2 linked regions of the Lonchura striata genome follow. The protein of the gene in region 1 purifies or fractionates together with the protein of each later gene. This does not show direct contact. Links are inferred from orthologs where the notes say so. Each region holds a gene or a part of one and is shown in the gene's direction. Other genes may lie near its edges.

Evidence for each region. Proteins that work in one complex are often made in the same cells at the same time.
Region 2: the proteins of PPP2R2B (region 1) and PPME1 purify together in Homo sapiens (affinity purification with mass spectrometry; 3 studies listed by BioGRID and IntAct, with this or other methods). This does not show direct contact. The link is inferred for Lonchura striata from reciprocal best matches to the Homo sapiens genes PPP2R2B and PPME1.

The regions. Positions count from the first base shown.
Region 1 is NC_134617.1:362,398-370,353, forward strand, and holds the start of PPP2R2B (serine/threonine-protein phosphatase 2A 55 kDa regulatory subunit B beta isoform), read left to right. Parts: upstream 1-4,919; 5' UTR 4,920-5,045; coding exon 5,046-5,055; intron 5,056-5,178; coding exon 5,179-5,256; intron 5,257-7,956. UniProt on the Homo sapiens protein: The B regulatory subunit might modulate substrate selectivity and catalytic activity, and might also direct the localization of the catalytic enzyme to a particular subcellular compartment.
Region 2 is NC_134604.1:19,316,003-19,323,273, reverse strand, and holds the start of PPME1 (protein phosphatase methylesterase 1), read left to right. Parts: upstream 1-4,264; 5' UTR 4,265-4,338; coding exon 4,339-4,436; intron 4,437-7,271. Other genes in the region: C2CD3 (C2 domain-containing protein 3), read right to left, coding at 1-53, 756-888, 1,464-1,681, 2,396-2,592, 3,158-3,315, 3,694-3,951, 4,086-4,101. UniProt on the Homo sapiens protein: Demethylates proteins that have been reversibly carboxymethylated. Demethylates PPP2CB (in vitro) and PPP2CA. Binding to PPP2CA displaces the manganese ion and inactivates the enzyme.

The DNA.
Region 1 (7,956 bases):
ACCGAGCAGCCGTCGGCGCGGGCGGCACCAGCCTGCGGAGGAGAGGAGCCGGGGGCGACGGAGCCGAGGAACCGGCCGGGCCGGGCCCCCGGTGGCGGCGGGAGGAGCCTGCGGCACCTGAGCGACACTCGCGTGGGGCCGCGCCGCGGACACGCCGCCGCGCCGCCAGGAAGGTGTCCGTGTCCGTGTCCGTGTCCGTGTCCCTGTCCCCGCCCTGCGGCCGGGAACGACACTCCCTCTGATGGCCCCACCGCCCGAACCCCTCTGCCGCCCCTTGCTGCGGGGTTATCCTTTCTCTCCTGTAAGCCTCGTGCCTTGCCCTCCGTTTTTTTGGAAGGGGTATGCGGGCTCCGCCTTCGGTGCCCGGGTGCATCCAGCCCCGCACCCGCCTCGGGGTGCAGCTGGCAGAGGGCGGTCCCGTCGGAGCCTCGGTCACTCAGGTCTCGGTATGGCCGGGGTCACGCTGCCCGTCCGCATTCCCCTGAAAGGATCCATAAGAAGAGAGACACCACATTTCCCACCCCATTGTCCATACTCTCGGACACTGGCTTTTCTCCTCTCATTCCTGAATGCCAGGGAAGGTTTATACTCCCAGGGCTCTAAGGAAGAGCAGTCCTTGCCCCAGGACAGGCAGAAGTCAGAGCACTTACCCAATTTTAGCCATTTCATGTACTACTTAGAGAATAACCAATAAGCTGAAACACAGCTGAGTCTCTCCTAAACTATCTAAAGCAATTCAGATCGTCTGAAATACAGACCCATGGACTGCAGAGGGAGAAAGAGGCTGGGTTCCTGCAGAGCTGGTTTGGGCCAGGGGACATCTGTCCTCAAACCCAGCTCTGAGGTGAGGACACATACAAGGGCTCTGGGGGCAGGTGAGCTCCACGTCGGGACACCAGCTCCTGTCCTGGGAAATGACCTGCACAGCCTTACAGCAAGGATGGGGATCCAGCAGTTACCACACAGAAACCAAGTAACAAAGTGGTTTAAAGTAAACCATCTGTGGTGGGTAGGGTAAGGTGTTCAAGTTGCAGGGAATTGTTAGTGATTTGTCTACAGCTCTAAAATCAGGAGATGCTCAAGATTTCCTTCCCAGCCCAAGACCAAACTCTACCTTTTAGAGTATCCACCTGTGGTTTTCTCTCTGTCTGAAGCAGCTTTTCCTGAATAGACTAAAATTTGCTGGATGAAGAATCACTTCTATTTGACTTTTCACATGAGCGACTTACATGAAGCTTGAAAATTTTTATCATAAGAAATTAGAATTTTTTTTCTAAACAGTATTATTCTGATTTTATTTACAGCAAAAGCTATAATCCAGGACAAACCCAGTAAAACTAGTAGAATCAGTAGTGGAAATATTAAAAAAAGTAGTAGTCCAGAGTTGTTCTGTACAGTGGGTTATCTGGAGAGTTTCAGAATCTTGTATGTCAACAGAAATGAAATATTAAAGTCTAATTATTGAGTAGGCCAAAGAAACAGCAAATGACAGAAGGCAGATCTGCAACAGCTCCTCTGAAACAGGCAACTCTGTTCCCCATGGGCAATGGGAAAGCGCATTCTGCTTGGTGCAGCAGGAGGATTAATTTTCCATGGGAAACAGAGAGCTTCGTGTCCCAGAGCTGAGGCTTTGGTCTGCAATAAAAAGACAGCACACTTAGGAAGAAAATCAGTGAAACATATCCCCCAGTTTTCTCAAGGAATAGAGCTTTTCTACTGTGTCAGCTCAGAAAGAGGAGACATGTCCCATGCTGGGGAATTTTTTCACTCGTACTAAAAGAAACTCAGGGGAGTGAAGTGTTCTCTCTGTCACCCGTCATGCACAACAGCCACTGCCAGCTTTCCTGGCTTGAGGAATGGGAGCGCCGTGGTGGATCTCTGGTGCCTTCTAATGGAGAGGAGGCACGGCTTATCCCTCTCCTCCAAGAGGTTCCTGCCACCAACCCATACACTCCTCCAGCACATAAACCCCACCACTACCCCAGCCTGGGCACGCCAGAAAAACCCCTGGGGTCTGCAAAGGTCAGAGGGGGCAAAGCCCCTAATGGCTGCCACTGAATTAAAATATAATTTTTATAAGTTTTATTCACCTTTACAGTTTTAACTATTCAGCTACCTATACTTTTGGTTCAACTATCAAACTAATTTTTTTCAATGGCTTAAAAAACAGAGAAGTTTTGCTATACTTATTCTATGCATTTTCTGGAACCATAAGTATTAAAGAAATTAAATTAAATTGAGCAGCCATAACTCAGCTGTAATCTTCCAGTAGACATTAACATTATGGTATGCTTGTAATGTGCTAGATTTCAATACCCATTGCTGGCATCTCCTGTGATTAAAGTGGGCTCACCTTCGCACACTGCCCACAGCTCCTACTGAATGAGAATTGTCTTGTAAGCTTTGCAGGCAGTTGCCAGTGCCAAAGTGTAGGAATTGGTATACATACTTAATCAAGGTTAAAACTCACTGCAGGCTGTGCAGGGGTGTGGACCACCCAGGGCTCCCCTCCTGCAGCAGGGGCTGTCCCATGATCAGGGATTAAGTGTTTTCTGGATGGGCAGATCTGTCCCTGGTGCCTTATCTCGTTCACAGTTTTCCTGGCCCCTGACTCAGCACAGATTATGGCATCTGCACCCACTCTGACACATGCTGTGAGGCGGCTGCTTCTGCAAATAGCTTGAACATCCTTTTCACAATGTAAACCACAGTGTCCCAGAACCTGCATTTTTAAACACACCAATCCCAGCAAGATTTCTGTAGAGTCTGAGCTCCATTTCAGAGAACACAGAGGAATGTCTTTTCCTGGCTGCAGGATGTGAAGCGCTAGGATTCCTCAGCTAGGGGTCACTAGAATTTAAGGCAGGACAGGACTTCAGAATCCAAAGTGACAGCTCTCCTCCAGCAAGCTGGGTTGTTAATAGTGGCTAACAGCTCTCATTGCAGAGAAATGGAACTCATTAGTTAACACTGGTTCGTTGTCACACAAGGTGTCAATAGGTGGCTGGATGTAGAAGCGTTCCTCCTGCTTCTTTTCACTAGTATGTATCAAAATCTCTCCCACTGGGACAGGATCCCTGTGTCCATTGTTCACTCCCATCAGCATTCCAGGCTTCTTGTGTGCACCTCAAACAGATGCTCTTCCCCAGCATTTGGACTGGTTCAGTCCCAGGGCTGGATGCAGTACAGATAAAGCTAATCAATATCCATGTGCAGCCTTTCCCCAGGCATATCTGATTTTTAAAAGATTTCTTCAAATTCTTAGAATGAAAAGGCTTTTAGTGTGCATGTTGGCAAGAGAGAGGCCAAGCTTGCAGGCAAGATTTTCCTATACATCAATATCATAGACATGTACTTCATTAGTGAATTTCCATCCTTAAAGCAAGAACTGGTGTACCAAGAGAAAAACTCCAAAAATTACAGGGGAGGTCTGAATGTCCAGAGAGAAATTTCACAAATTAAGTTAGCAATAAACCTTAAAAACCAGAACAACTTTCTTTAAATATCCATCTCCATCATATGAAAAGAAGGCTCAGTTACTACAGGATTTTCCCAGCCTGGTGTCTGCAACAGTGCAGTGTTTGTGCTCTGGAAGTCCAGCAGTACCAAGGGCTAAGAAATCCTGTCTGCTACTGCCAGCACTTCCAGTGCAAAGCAGGAATAAACCATTCCCGGTGTCAGTGTGAGAACCACAGTGGTGAGAATAGGAACAAATCCTGCCAGAGACTGATGGGCAAAAAATACATTGATCAGCAATGTTTATGAGAGTGAAGATGTGAGACAGAGCCCTGCAAACTGCCCAGATATTAGACTCACTGTCACTCTTATCAAAGCTGCTGCCCAAGCTGCAGGAAGCACCACAGAGCCTCTGGAAAATGGTCATCTCCTCATTGCCTAGATGCAGAGTTTAATCCTCACCCTCCCCCTTTCATACCCTTAAAGTTCTATCTTTTCCTTGTATTCGCCTTGAATAACCCAATAAAGCTCACTCTTGACTTTGTACCTATTATGTATTCCAGGTTAATACATTATTTTGATACATACCTGTATTAATACAAAAAACATAAGTAAAATCAGACAGAGATCTCACAAAGACATCCAGTTAGGCTACAGCATATCCCATATTGCTTGGTCATATGCCCTACTGGACATAGTCTCCCAACCTGTGTTTTCCTTTTCTTTCGTAGAGAAGTAACAAGTCTGTGTCTCTGTAGCAAGACCCCAGACTGAGCCCAGTATCACACTTGCCAATTGTGAAATGCCTACATTTTCTGTTACACATTTCACCTGTGTGTGAAACAAATGAGATGAAATTGACTGTTCCTTGTGGCTTCATTTCCCTGCTTTCTTCATGCCTGGAAATTCTTTGAGATAAAATGTGTGTAGGATGAAAGGAAAAAAGTTGTCCTTTGAGGCAGTGGATTTTTTTGTGGAATACTGAAAACTGTGTCACACAAAGGGAAATTCTGCTCAGCTGTCAAGGAAACAAGGGGCATTGGTAGATGAAATCCTAATTTCTCTCAGAGTCTTAACACAGAGTATTGCTGCAGCAGCAAACACAGTTGAAAGCACTACAGCTTAATAATATGTCTTTAAGTAGAAATGTCTGTAGTAGTCTTTTAAAGCAGCTATAAGGCAATTGTGATTGCAGGCAGATTTTGAGGAAAGTGTTATAATGTATTGTAAAGCAGCTCCATGCTGCTTGGGTTCATTGCCAAGCAGTTCAGAACTACACTGACCACAAATGTGAAAAAATAACTTCTTGTGGTAGTAGGAGCAGTTCTTTTTTCCTGTTTTACTCCTTCTTTAACTGTGCAGGAAATGACTGGGAGCATTAGTATTCTGACAGAGGGAGGCTGTGACAAAGACCATGACTTCAGGGCCTCCTGACTTCTGTGCTGCTGCCAGTGATGTGGAGGGGACTGACTCTGATGGCTCCACTTCCCAACAGCCCTGCCATGGCACGGAGAGAACAGAGGGTGATTCATAAGGCAGGCATGCTGCTCTTGGCTCTGCAGTGCTAGCTCTGCGCTTTGCATGGAACTATGACACCAGGTGAGCAGCTGTTTATCTTCATGCAGAGATTGCACCTTGTGTGTGCATGTGCATTCATTTAAAAAAGGACAAGCTATGTACCAATGTGATTGTATCTTCTTTCTGAATGTGTTTTCCTGGCAGGATTTGGAAGCCTCATGCAGGATGTGCTGTGGTGCTTCAGTCAAGTAAAAGGAGCTATAGATGCTGGGGTGGCAGAATGTAAGTTTATTTTTCTTTTTGTTGCTGTGACCAAAGATAACTTGTCGCATACATCTTGCCTAGCTGGTGTGCAGGGAGGTCTTTTGCGTGTTGTTGGGAGCTGCTGGGACAGAGCTAAGCCATGCTCCTCGGTTTCTGCCCTCGTTATGTACTTGTGCATCTGAAAGAGATGGGCCTCTTAAATTAGCTATTGATCCAAGAATTCATTTGAGGGCATTATAGCTTAATCATAGCAATAGCCTTTGAAATAGATTTTCTTTTGGTTTTCAGCTGTTATTTAGAGCTTTTCAGGGAATAATGAGACAGCTTCTCCCACTATAACCTTTACCAGAATCAGTTCTGGAACTGAGATGGACTATTAGACATTCTCCTTATATTTTTTTGCGGTCCATGAAATGTGATGACCTTTTTAAAAGCACAGTCTTGTGAGACTAAGGGGACTGTGTCAGCCCAAGCCCCTGAGAGCAGAGCTCTGACTTCTCCTGGTGGGAATGAGGCTCTGCCTCGAGCACTGTCACCTGTCCTGCTTCAGTGGCAGTTCTGTTATGCTGCTTTTGCAGAAGAGGGTTTCAGTCTGTAATCTCTAGAGATTACATTGGGGCACATCACTCTGAAGAATATCTAATAATTTATTAAATCCCTAGAGGAAAACAGCAATATAGTGATTAAAGCCAAAATATTTTTTACTGATGTTTTGTTTTGTTGTTTTGGTTTTAAAATTATTTACAAGTGTTTTGAGCTTTTACTGTAGAATCTGCAGATCATTGTAACTGCTCAGGAGTACTTGTTTGCTACTTTAGGATTAATGAAATATTAGGTTGCATCTCTCACTCTCTATTCTTTTGTTAATGTAACCACTTACCAGCTGAGGGCTGTAAGCTTTATTTTTTTACCACTGGAGACTTAGTGGATGAACCTAGAGGCATGATGGCAGGAAAGGAGCCCTGCGATTTTTTCTTGCGGTAATCTGGCCTCACAGAACAGTAAAGGCTAATGAATAATACTTAAAAGCTGCATTCAGTAAAACTAGTAATTAAAAGGCCATGCCATTGGTGCATTCAATCTGAACAGGCACAAACAGCATGACCATGACTGAGGAGGAAGCTCACACAAGTGTTACATGTGGGATGGGCTTTGGTTCTTGTGCTGGTTTGCGTTGGCGTGTGAGTGTACACGTGTATAGGTAGTAATGTGTGTACATGAATTAAGCCATAAATATGGTATTACAGATGCCTCACCTTCATCAGAAGTTTATCCATAAGTTGCCACTATTACTCTAGTCTTTGCAACACATTTTTGACCTTCAGAACTCTTGCTAATATCCAAGCATCCTGAACTTGCAGAATGTGATTTCTTTAGTGACTATGAAGCACACAGCTGTGCATGGTCAGGTGAGAAGAGATGTTACTTTTATTACAATGCTCTTTGAATGTAGTAGAGCCTACCTCCTTCAGCAGGATGGACTGTCATTCTGGCTTTGAAATTATATTTCAAATGTTGCCAACAATAATTCTGCCATTAATTTTGTGGTAATTGTCTGCTCCTGTCCACACAGAAGCTGCACAAACAAATCTACATAAACTACCTCATTTTGTTCTTTCTTTGTTCCTTGCTTTGACTTGGAGTATGGTGTCACAGTCTGTGGTACTTGTCCCGATGAAACCAGGGGAGTAATGGATCCTTTAACTAAAGCAACTGTGGGAATGAACGAGCTCTCTTGTGCATAGATGGGAGGCCTGAGACATCTTTCAGCTGCTCAAACACTGATTTCAGTGTTAAATGTGAAGTACATGACGTTACTGACTGCCACTGTCATATCACAGTGCTTTGAACCACATTTCAGTACTGTCTAAAGCAAACAGGTTTTAGAGACCTTGCCTTATTCTGATAGATTGGCTATTAGGAGTCTACTGTAGAAAACGGGTTAGCGCGAACTTTAGAGGCGACACCTCCTCGAGGCTGCGGCGGTGCGGGGCGGCTCGCTCGGCTCCGGGGTGCGGCAGTGCCAGGACACGCGTCCGTCCCTCCGGTCCCGCTGGTCCCGGGATGCGGCCCCGGTGCGACGCGCCCTGCGCGGCCCCGGCGGCGGCTCCCGGCGGCCGCGGGGGCTGCGGCGGAGCGGGGCGGCCCGGGGCGGCCCGGGGCCCTGCGGATCCCTGCGGGGCCGGCCGCGGGGCGCCGGGCGGCTGCTGGCGGGCGGGACGGGCTTCGTCAGCGCTGCCGGCCGTGCCGCACCCGATGCGGCGGGGCCGGGCCGGGCCGGGCGAGCCGGGGCGCTCCGCTCCGCTGCGGCAGCAGCGGGGCCGGACAGCTCCGCGCGGGCCGGCGCTGCCGCTCTCCCCGCCGCTGTCGGTGCGGGGTCCGTGTCCGAGCGCGGTCCGGCGCGGAAGATGAAATGCTTCTCGCGGTACCTCCCGTACCTGTTCCGGCCGCACGGCGCGCTCCGCTCCGCCAGCTGCCACGCGGAAGGTACGCGGGGCGCGGGGGCGCGGGCGGGGCCGCCGGGAAACGCCGAGCCGCGGGGCCGGCGCGGCGGCTGCGGTGACGGGGCTGCAGGGCTCCAGGGCGTGTAGTTTGTAGATGTGGCCTTAAATGCATCCGGATATTCCCGAGGAAATGGAGCAATCCTGCCGCGCTCTGCCCGCCTCCGGCTAGCCGACCCCTCTCCCGCCGTCAGCAGAGCGCGTTTCCAGGTCTTGG
Region 2 (7,271 bases), on another chromosome or scaffold:
GATGGAAATCTTCAGGAGTGTGCACAAAACTGGACTTCAAGCCTGTTGGGCTCCTGGGTAACAGCAATGGAAGCAGAGACAGCAGAAAAAGGACAAATAAAGACATTAAGGCATACTCAAGATTAATCCATTAATCGGTCTATCAGTGTCTTCTGTGAAGTCCAAAATAATCCACTTTAACACAAATGCAAATAGCTTGTGCAGAAAGAAATTAAATTGAGTTTGCAATAGCATCACTGACTACCAAAGACAATGACATCGCTTTCTGGTTATCACAGAACAACAGGTAATATTCACATTTTTCCAGAAGAAAATCAAGAAATCTAAGTTTCTTTTCCCCTAAGGAAAAAAAAAATGCATTTAGGTTATGAATTACTTACACTTCTCTGAAAAACTGCTCCTTGTGATGCAGTGCCATTTCACTTGCACTGTCTTTCAAGTCTTACTCTTATTCCCTACCAACATGTAATATTTCCTTGACAAATAACTTAGAACTAAATACAAATATACTAAAAAATTAAATTAAAATCAAATACTTAAATCAAAGCTTACTACATGAAGATTAAAATAAATTCACAAAATTCGCGCATTTATTCACAGGTAGAAATTAACTTCCTATTTGAATGATGTGCTTTTTTCACCTCAAATGAATCCTAAAACACATCCTATGAATCTCAGTATCTACAGTTTTCTGGATAAAGCCTCAAAATTTATGGTTTGGAGCTTGCATCTCACTTCCCTCAATCCAAACTCACTTTGTTGGTGCTTTAAAATCATCTCTCTCTATAAAATCAGATATTTTATTCAGTTCAATCTCCATGTCTAGGCTGGACTTCATTGCAGAAACAACCATGGCATCACGGAGTTTACTGCCTTGATCCAAGAGAGCTGGGAAACAAGCAGAAGGATTACATTTCAGCATTCAAATGTATTTTAAGAGCAATGTGTAGACATAATCAATGTGTCAGCTACGGTCAAGAAACTTGTTTTCTGCTGTTAAAAAAAGATCTTGACTCACTGGGGATTAAATATGTTTTATACACCAGAAAACAGCTCAGCTGGGAGCGAGGGAGAATGATCCTCCATCAGTCTCCCACTCCACTGCACAGGGAATTTCTCTGCACACACAGGGTCAGGTATTGGAAAGGCATTATTAGGATACAGAAGCAGTACTAATTTAGGGAAGAGAAGTTTGCCACTTCAAGATGTCTAATTTTTGTTCTTTTCTGCGAATATGGAACTCAAAAGACAGCACATATGGAAACATGCCCTACTCCAAAGCTTATTTCAGTCCAGCCCAGGCAACAGCAAGTTTTAAGACAAGGCCTTTTTGGTATAATGCAGCAAGAGGGTGTGAAGTCTGTCTTTCCCTTCAGAAAACCTCATCTCCATACAGGCAGACAAAAGAGCATCAAGAGCTGTTTGCAGTGAAATCTAAAATGTGAAGCCAGCTGCACACAAACCTGACAGCAGGTCTTTTGTAGCGGCGTTGTGCATGGAGAGCACCCGTGTGCTCCTCCTGGGAAGCGCTTCAGGATCAGTGCTGCTGGGAAACGACAGGGGCTGACTCGCAGGATTCATTTTCAAGTGTTCATCTGGTAAAATCACACCGTGACAAGAAGCAGAAAAGGTGTTCTTCATGTTTTCAGAATTCTTTTGGTAGAGCAAACCGTCCCTTCCTCTAGGGAAAAACAGTGACAACTCAGGAAGGTGGGTAAAGGGATTCAGAGCTCTGCAAATTCTCCCTTCAGGACATGCTCCAACAGGAAACATGACATGTTATTTTAATGATTCCTCACCTGCCACTGAGACCATCAGAGAGACCAACCCAAGCTGCAAGTAGAAGATTTTTTTTAAAAAAAAGATCTTTTTTACAAGAGCATCTTGTGACAGGACAAGGGGGAACAGATTCTCACTGCCAGAGGGTAAGTTTAGATTAGATATCAGGAGAAAGTGATTTGCTGGAGCACGGTGAGACTCTGGCACAGGTTACCGAGAGAGGCCGTGCCTGCTTCATCCATGTCCAAGGCCAGGCTGGATGGGGCTTGGAGCAGCCTGGGATAGTGGAAAGTGTTCTGGCAGCAGGGCTGAAATGAGATGAGCCTTAAGATCCCTTCCACCCAAATTATTTTGTGATTTGATGATTTGAGGCACCTCTTTTGTGAACTTGCATGACTTGAACTAAGTCAACCTAAGAAGCAAATTTCTTATCAGACAAGAAATTGTCCCTGTCACCTTGGAAATCTCCACATCCTGGATTTAATATAAGATGTATGTTTGAAAACATCAAGCATCCCATAACTCACAAGTGTACTGCCATACCTAAAAATCCTGTGTGAACTGCAAAATAAACCACAGTTTTGTCATGAGAAAAACAAAAAAAACAAACGGATACCTAGGAGATGTGGCTTTGCTGTTGTCAACCCAGTCCTGTTCAACAGTCACCTGTGTGTGCCTGGGCTGCTGGGATGGAGCAGGAAGCTGGGACTTGCTGCTTCCCTGGGCAGCAGCAGCAACTGAACCTCCTTGTGTGGTCAGCACACAGCTGCTAGTATCATACAGCTCTGGCAGAGGTTCTAGAATCAGTGAGACCTGGAAGACAAGAATGTGAAAATATTACTTTGTTCTCTTCCTAACTTAAGTGCAGTAAACACTGCATTAAACTTCACTTGTTGTGCAATGGAAAACTGCTGCTTTTCTACATAAAGTAATATTTACATTACGCAGCTATGTCACATATTTACAACTACTTCTTTCTTGTTCCATGTTTTCAGACCCAGTCAACTGCCTTTCATAATCAATTTTCCAGAGCCAGGGCTGCAAGACAGAATTTTCTTAATTCCAGATGTCAAATCTTCTATTATCAGCCCAGTGAAGTGTAAGAACCAAATATCCATTTAAAATCCACTGTTAACACTCACTCTTGGTGACAGAGATGACCACATGCTCCTCACTAAGCTCAACTACCCCACATCCCTTGGAACAAAATAAAGTCAATATCAGCAGTATTTGTTTTTTTTTATTTGTTACCTAAGCTCAGAAATGCCCTTGACAGAGAGCAAAGCTGCAGTGTGCCATATACAGCTTGACCCTGCACCTGATTATACCAGTGTCACAGCACATAATTTATGATAATGAGCAAAGACATCAAGACTACCTGCAGCTCTCCGAGTTTACCCGATGTTGGTGACACCACAGGAAAAGACCCTTTGATGGGATGGCTGGGAGAGAGCTGGGACAGCTTAGTGATCTGTGCTCTGCCAAGGAGAAGGTGGTCAAGTTTGGTTAGAACCTCCAGGACCAGAACGCCCATATCTGCAAAAATCAGGAACATCTTCAAGTCAGTCTCATGGTCACAACTGACACTTTTTGGCTAAAATGACAGCAACGCCAGAGATTAACATTATGTCCTACAAGGAAATTACGATAACAGGGCAGCAGGTGAAGAAGCGTCAATACAGACATTATTACTGGTACTAAATGATGATGAACGAGTACAGGATTACCAGGAAAGGAACAGGACACAGGGAAATGCTTACCGCTGTTCGAGGGTAACCCCCTGGGCAGCCTACCCACCCTGCCCGTGAAGAAACTTCTCTCGACGGCCGACCCCAACCTGCCCCGGCACACCTTAACGCTGCGTCCTCTCGTCCTACCCCAACCTAACGCGGTCCCGAAGCGTAGCGTCCCTACCTGCCAGGTAGGCGGCGAGCTGCCGGGGTCCGCAGCGCACGGTGAAGCGGGCGCTGGTTCTCCCCGCGGGCTGCCCGGCCCGGCAGGCGGGCTGCAGTACGGTGCCGCCGGACGTCTCCCCCCACCACCGTAGGCGCACCACGGCGGGCGGCTGCGGGGCCGCCCAGAACACGCGGGGCACGCTGCAGCGCAGGAAGCAGCGCGCCGGGCCCTGCACCAGCGGCGGCAGGCTGATGGCGGCGGCGGGCTCGCCGGCACCTGCGGGGACAGGCGACATCAGCGGTCCGTACATCGTCCCGAGCCTCCGTGCCGCTTCCCGTCCCACAGCTGCACGCTTCTCTCCCCGCTGTATCCCCCCAAGCCCCGCTCCGCCGCTCTGTCCCTCTCCGCACCTCCCCTCCGCCGCATCCCGCCCGCGCCTCCCGCCCGGCAACGGCCGCCGCGGCGGGGGACTACAGCTCCCGTCCTGCCCCGCGCCCCGCCGGGCAGAGCGGGGGCGCGGACTACGTTTCCCGCGGTGCCACGCGGGCGGGTGCGCTTAGTGCCGCGTGGCGGCGCTGTTGGGGGAGCCGCTTCCGGCGAGGCGAGGCGGGGCGGAGGGGGCGGCGCGGGGGTCCCGGTGTTCCCGGTGCGTCCCTAGCTGTCATGTCTGCCCTGGAGAAGCAGCTGCATCTGGGCCGCCTCCCACCTCGGCCCCCGTTGCCCGGAGGCGGCGGCCATTCCGGGTCGAAGATGCGCATGGGGTAGGCGGAGGAAGGGCAGGGGCGGATGCCGAGATCGGGGGGGAGTCTGGGGGGAGAGGTTACCGCGGAGCGGAGGCTCTGCAGGGAGGTGGGGCTCGTGTTGGGGGTCTGGAGGGACGGGTGGTCTTTGCTGGGGGGATCTACAAGGAAGGGAGGTACGTTATTCCGGGGTCTGGACGGAGGGGAATCACTATCGGAGGATTTGGGAAGAGGGGAGCTCGTCCTGGGCGATCGGGACAGGGAATGGCCATTATCTGGAGATCTGGGAGGAGGGGAGTTCGTCCTGAGGAATTGGGCACAGGGAATTATCGGGGGGTCTGGACAGGGGGAAGCTCATCCTGGAAGATCGGCAAAGGAATGTCGATTACCAGGAGATCCGGCCAGTGGGGAGCTCGTCCTGGGGGATCGGCACAGGGAATGGCCATTATCACGAGACATACACAGAGAAGAGCTCGTCCTGGGGAATCGGGACGGGGAATGGTCACTACTGGGGGATCTGGAGCGAGGGGGGGTCATTCTTAGGGGTCTGGAGGGAGGGTTGGTCCTGCTTCCCAGTGCTCCAGGAGAGTGACACCTGGATCAGGCTTCTCCAGCTGCAAAGGTATCAGTGCCCAAAGTATCCTTAGGCTGGGGGAAGGTGGCAGGGGCTGGGATCAACTCTCCAGCCCTTTTCTCCTAGTCCTTTTGCCATCAGTGTTTGGAGGAAGGGTCAAGCACCATGTCTGGGTGGTACCTCAGAGTGTGACTGCGGGGAGAGGTGTGTGGAAATTCTCAGGAGCTGAATTCCTAAGCTGGAGTTGGACTTTGATAATGCTTGTGGTGGGTCCCTTTCCGAGTCAGAATATTCCATGATTCTGTGAAACAGAATTTCTCAGCTCCGGGCACCTATGTGAAGTAGGTGTGCTCTGCCAAGTGACGTTAATCCCTGCTTAAATCTGCATTTTGAGATGATGGAAAAGTCTGGAATACTCTTTAATCTTTTAAGCAGGGTTTGAGAGTACATTTTAGGAGCTGTGGGAGAAGTTTGACCAGTGTCTAAGGCTGTAACAAGTGTTAATTTATATAATTCTTCCTCTCTTACCATGAATTGGAGGGGTTTTAAACTCTCTCTGGGAAATTATTATGAATGAAACAAAATCCAGTGTTGCGGTTAAGGATCAAGAATTCCCCTGGAATTCTTCCCTTGGAAGCAGTGGGGAGTAGTTCATAATCATGTTGTGGTTAGATTTACTGCTCTACCACCCAGTAAATCCCTTTACAGGTCATGTTCCTGTTGTGGGAGGTGCTGCACATCCAACATGGAATTACCTCATCCAGAGGGGCTTGGGGCTTCTGTGAAAAGGACACAAGAGGAAGTGGGATAGAAAGTTTAACTTAAGCTGAGCTTATCCTTATCAAAGTTCAGTTCAGTATAAACAGGTGCAAGATTCCCCCTGAAGAGAATTCCACTAAAAGAGAACGGAATTAGTTGTACAGGGAAAATAGTGTGATTTACAGTGCTGGCAGATATACAGGGCTGCACTGAAATAGTTCATCAAAATTCAAAGGTTACAGGGAACAAAAAGAACTAAACTTAGGAAAATATTTATTTGCTTTATTAAGCATCTCACATTTATAAATGTAATTTATTCCTGCACTTTCAATTTCTTGAATTGCAAGCCAGGCTTTTAAAAAAATGCGTTTAACCTTAATATCCAAGAATGCCAGCAACTTGATTTTTCTGTGGCTAAATCCTCTGACTGGTGTGCTGGGCACTTTCTTTTAATTCCCTTTTTTTCCACCATGCAGGTCATCTTAATGTGACTGTGGTGTAGCTGAAAGCAGATCTTGAGAAGCAGAGGGCCAAGCATGTGAGATTGCTGCAGAAAAATAGAATTTACTGAGAACTTCTTAACCAAAATAAAGTCTTACATTTTTTGGCAATATGCTGTTAAAAGGTTAATGTGTGTTTCAGTAGTTCATAAAAAATGGCACCTTTAAGTATGTGAAAATAAACTTATTTCTAACTTTTTCTTTTAAAATTATTATTTTCTTGCTCATTTTTCAGTACAATCACTTCCTTATGTCTCTCTGTGGGAGAGTCTCATTTGAGAAGTCAAACTGTCCGAAGCAAATAGAATCATGGAATTGCTCAGGTTGGAAAAGCCCTCTAAGATCTTGGAGTCCAGCCATTCCCCCAGCACTGCCGAGGCCACCACTATCCCAACATCCCCAAGTGCCCTATCCACACAGCTTTCTGTCCCTGCAGGGATGGGGATCTGTGCAGCTGTGCTAGGGTTGGACAGCCCTTTTCAGGAAGGAATTCTCCCTGATACCAAACATGGCTCCTGCAATGTAGTCTGGAGTGGGTTTTGCGGGAGCATGGGATGTGTGCTAGAATTTCATTCTATTTCACAGCACGTGGCATTGATTCCTGCTTTGCTAGCACAATCCTCTTCTCCCTGGATTTAAGTGCTCTCCAGCAGAAATGATGGTTGCAAAGGCCCTTCCCAAAGGAAGCTGGAGCTTCTCTTCAGCTCAAGCAGTTGGTGAAACTCAGCCACTGGGAGGAATTCCATGTCCATTTCTTTAAGGAGCACCAAGGCTGTGTTGGGAATTGCCTGCGTGTTGCAAGTGATTCTTTCCAATTGCTCAACTGATGAAAATCAAAATCAAAATCACAAAATAAAACAAAACCAGGCTTATGGCCTGATTCTGTGTTCTGTGGGGAAATAAAATAATAGAATTTGTAAAGTCACTGGTGGAGCAAGAGGCCCCACGGCAGCAGATCCCAACAGCTGTAGCAGCTTCTGCATTTCCTGTCTTGTTTTTTGCCTTTTGTTTTTGGCTAGTGGC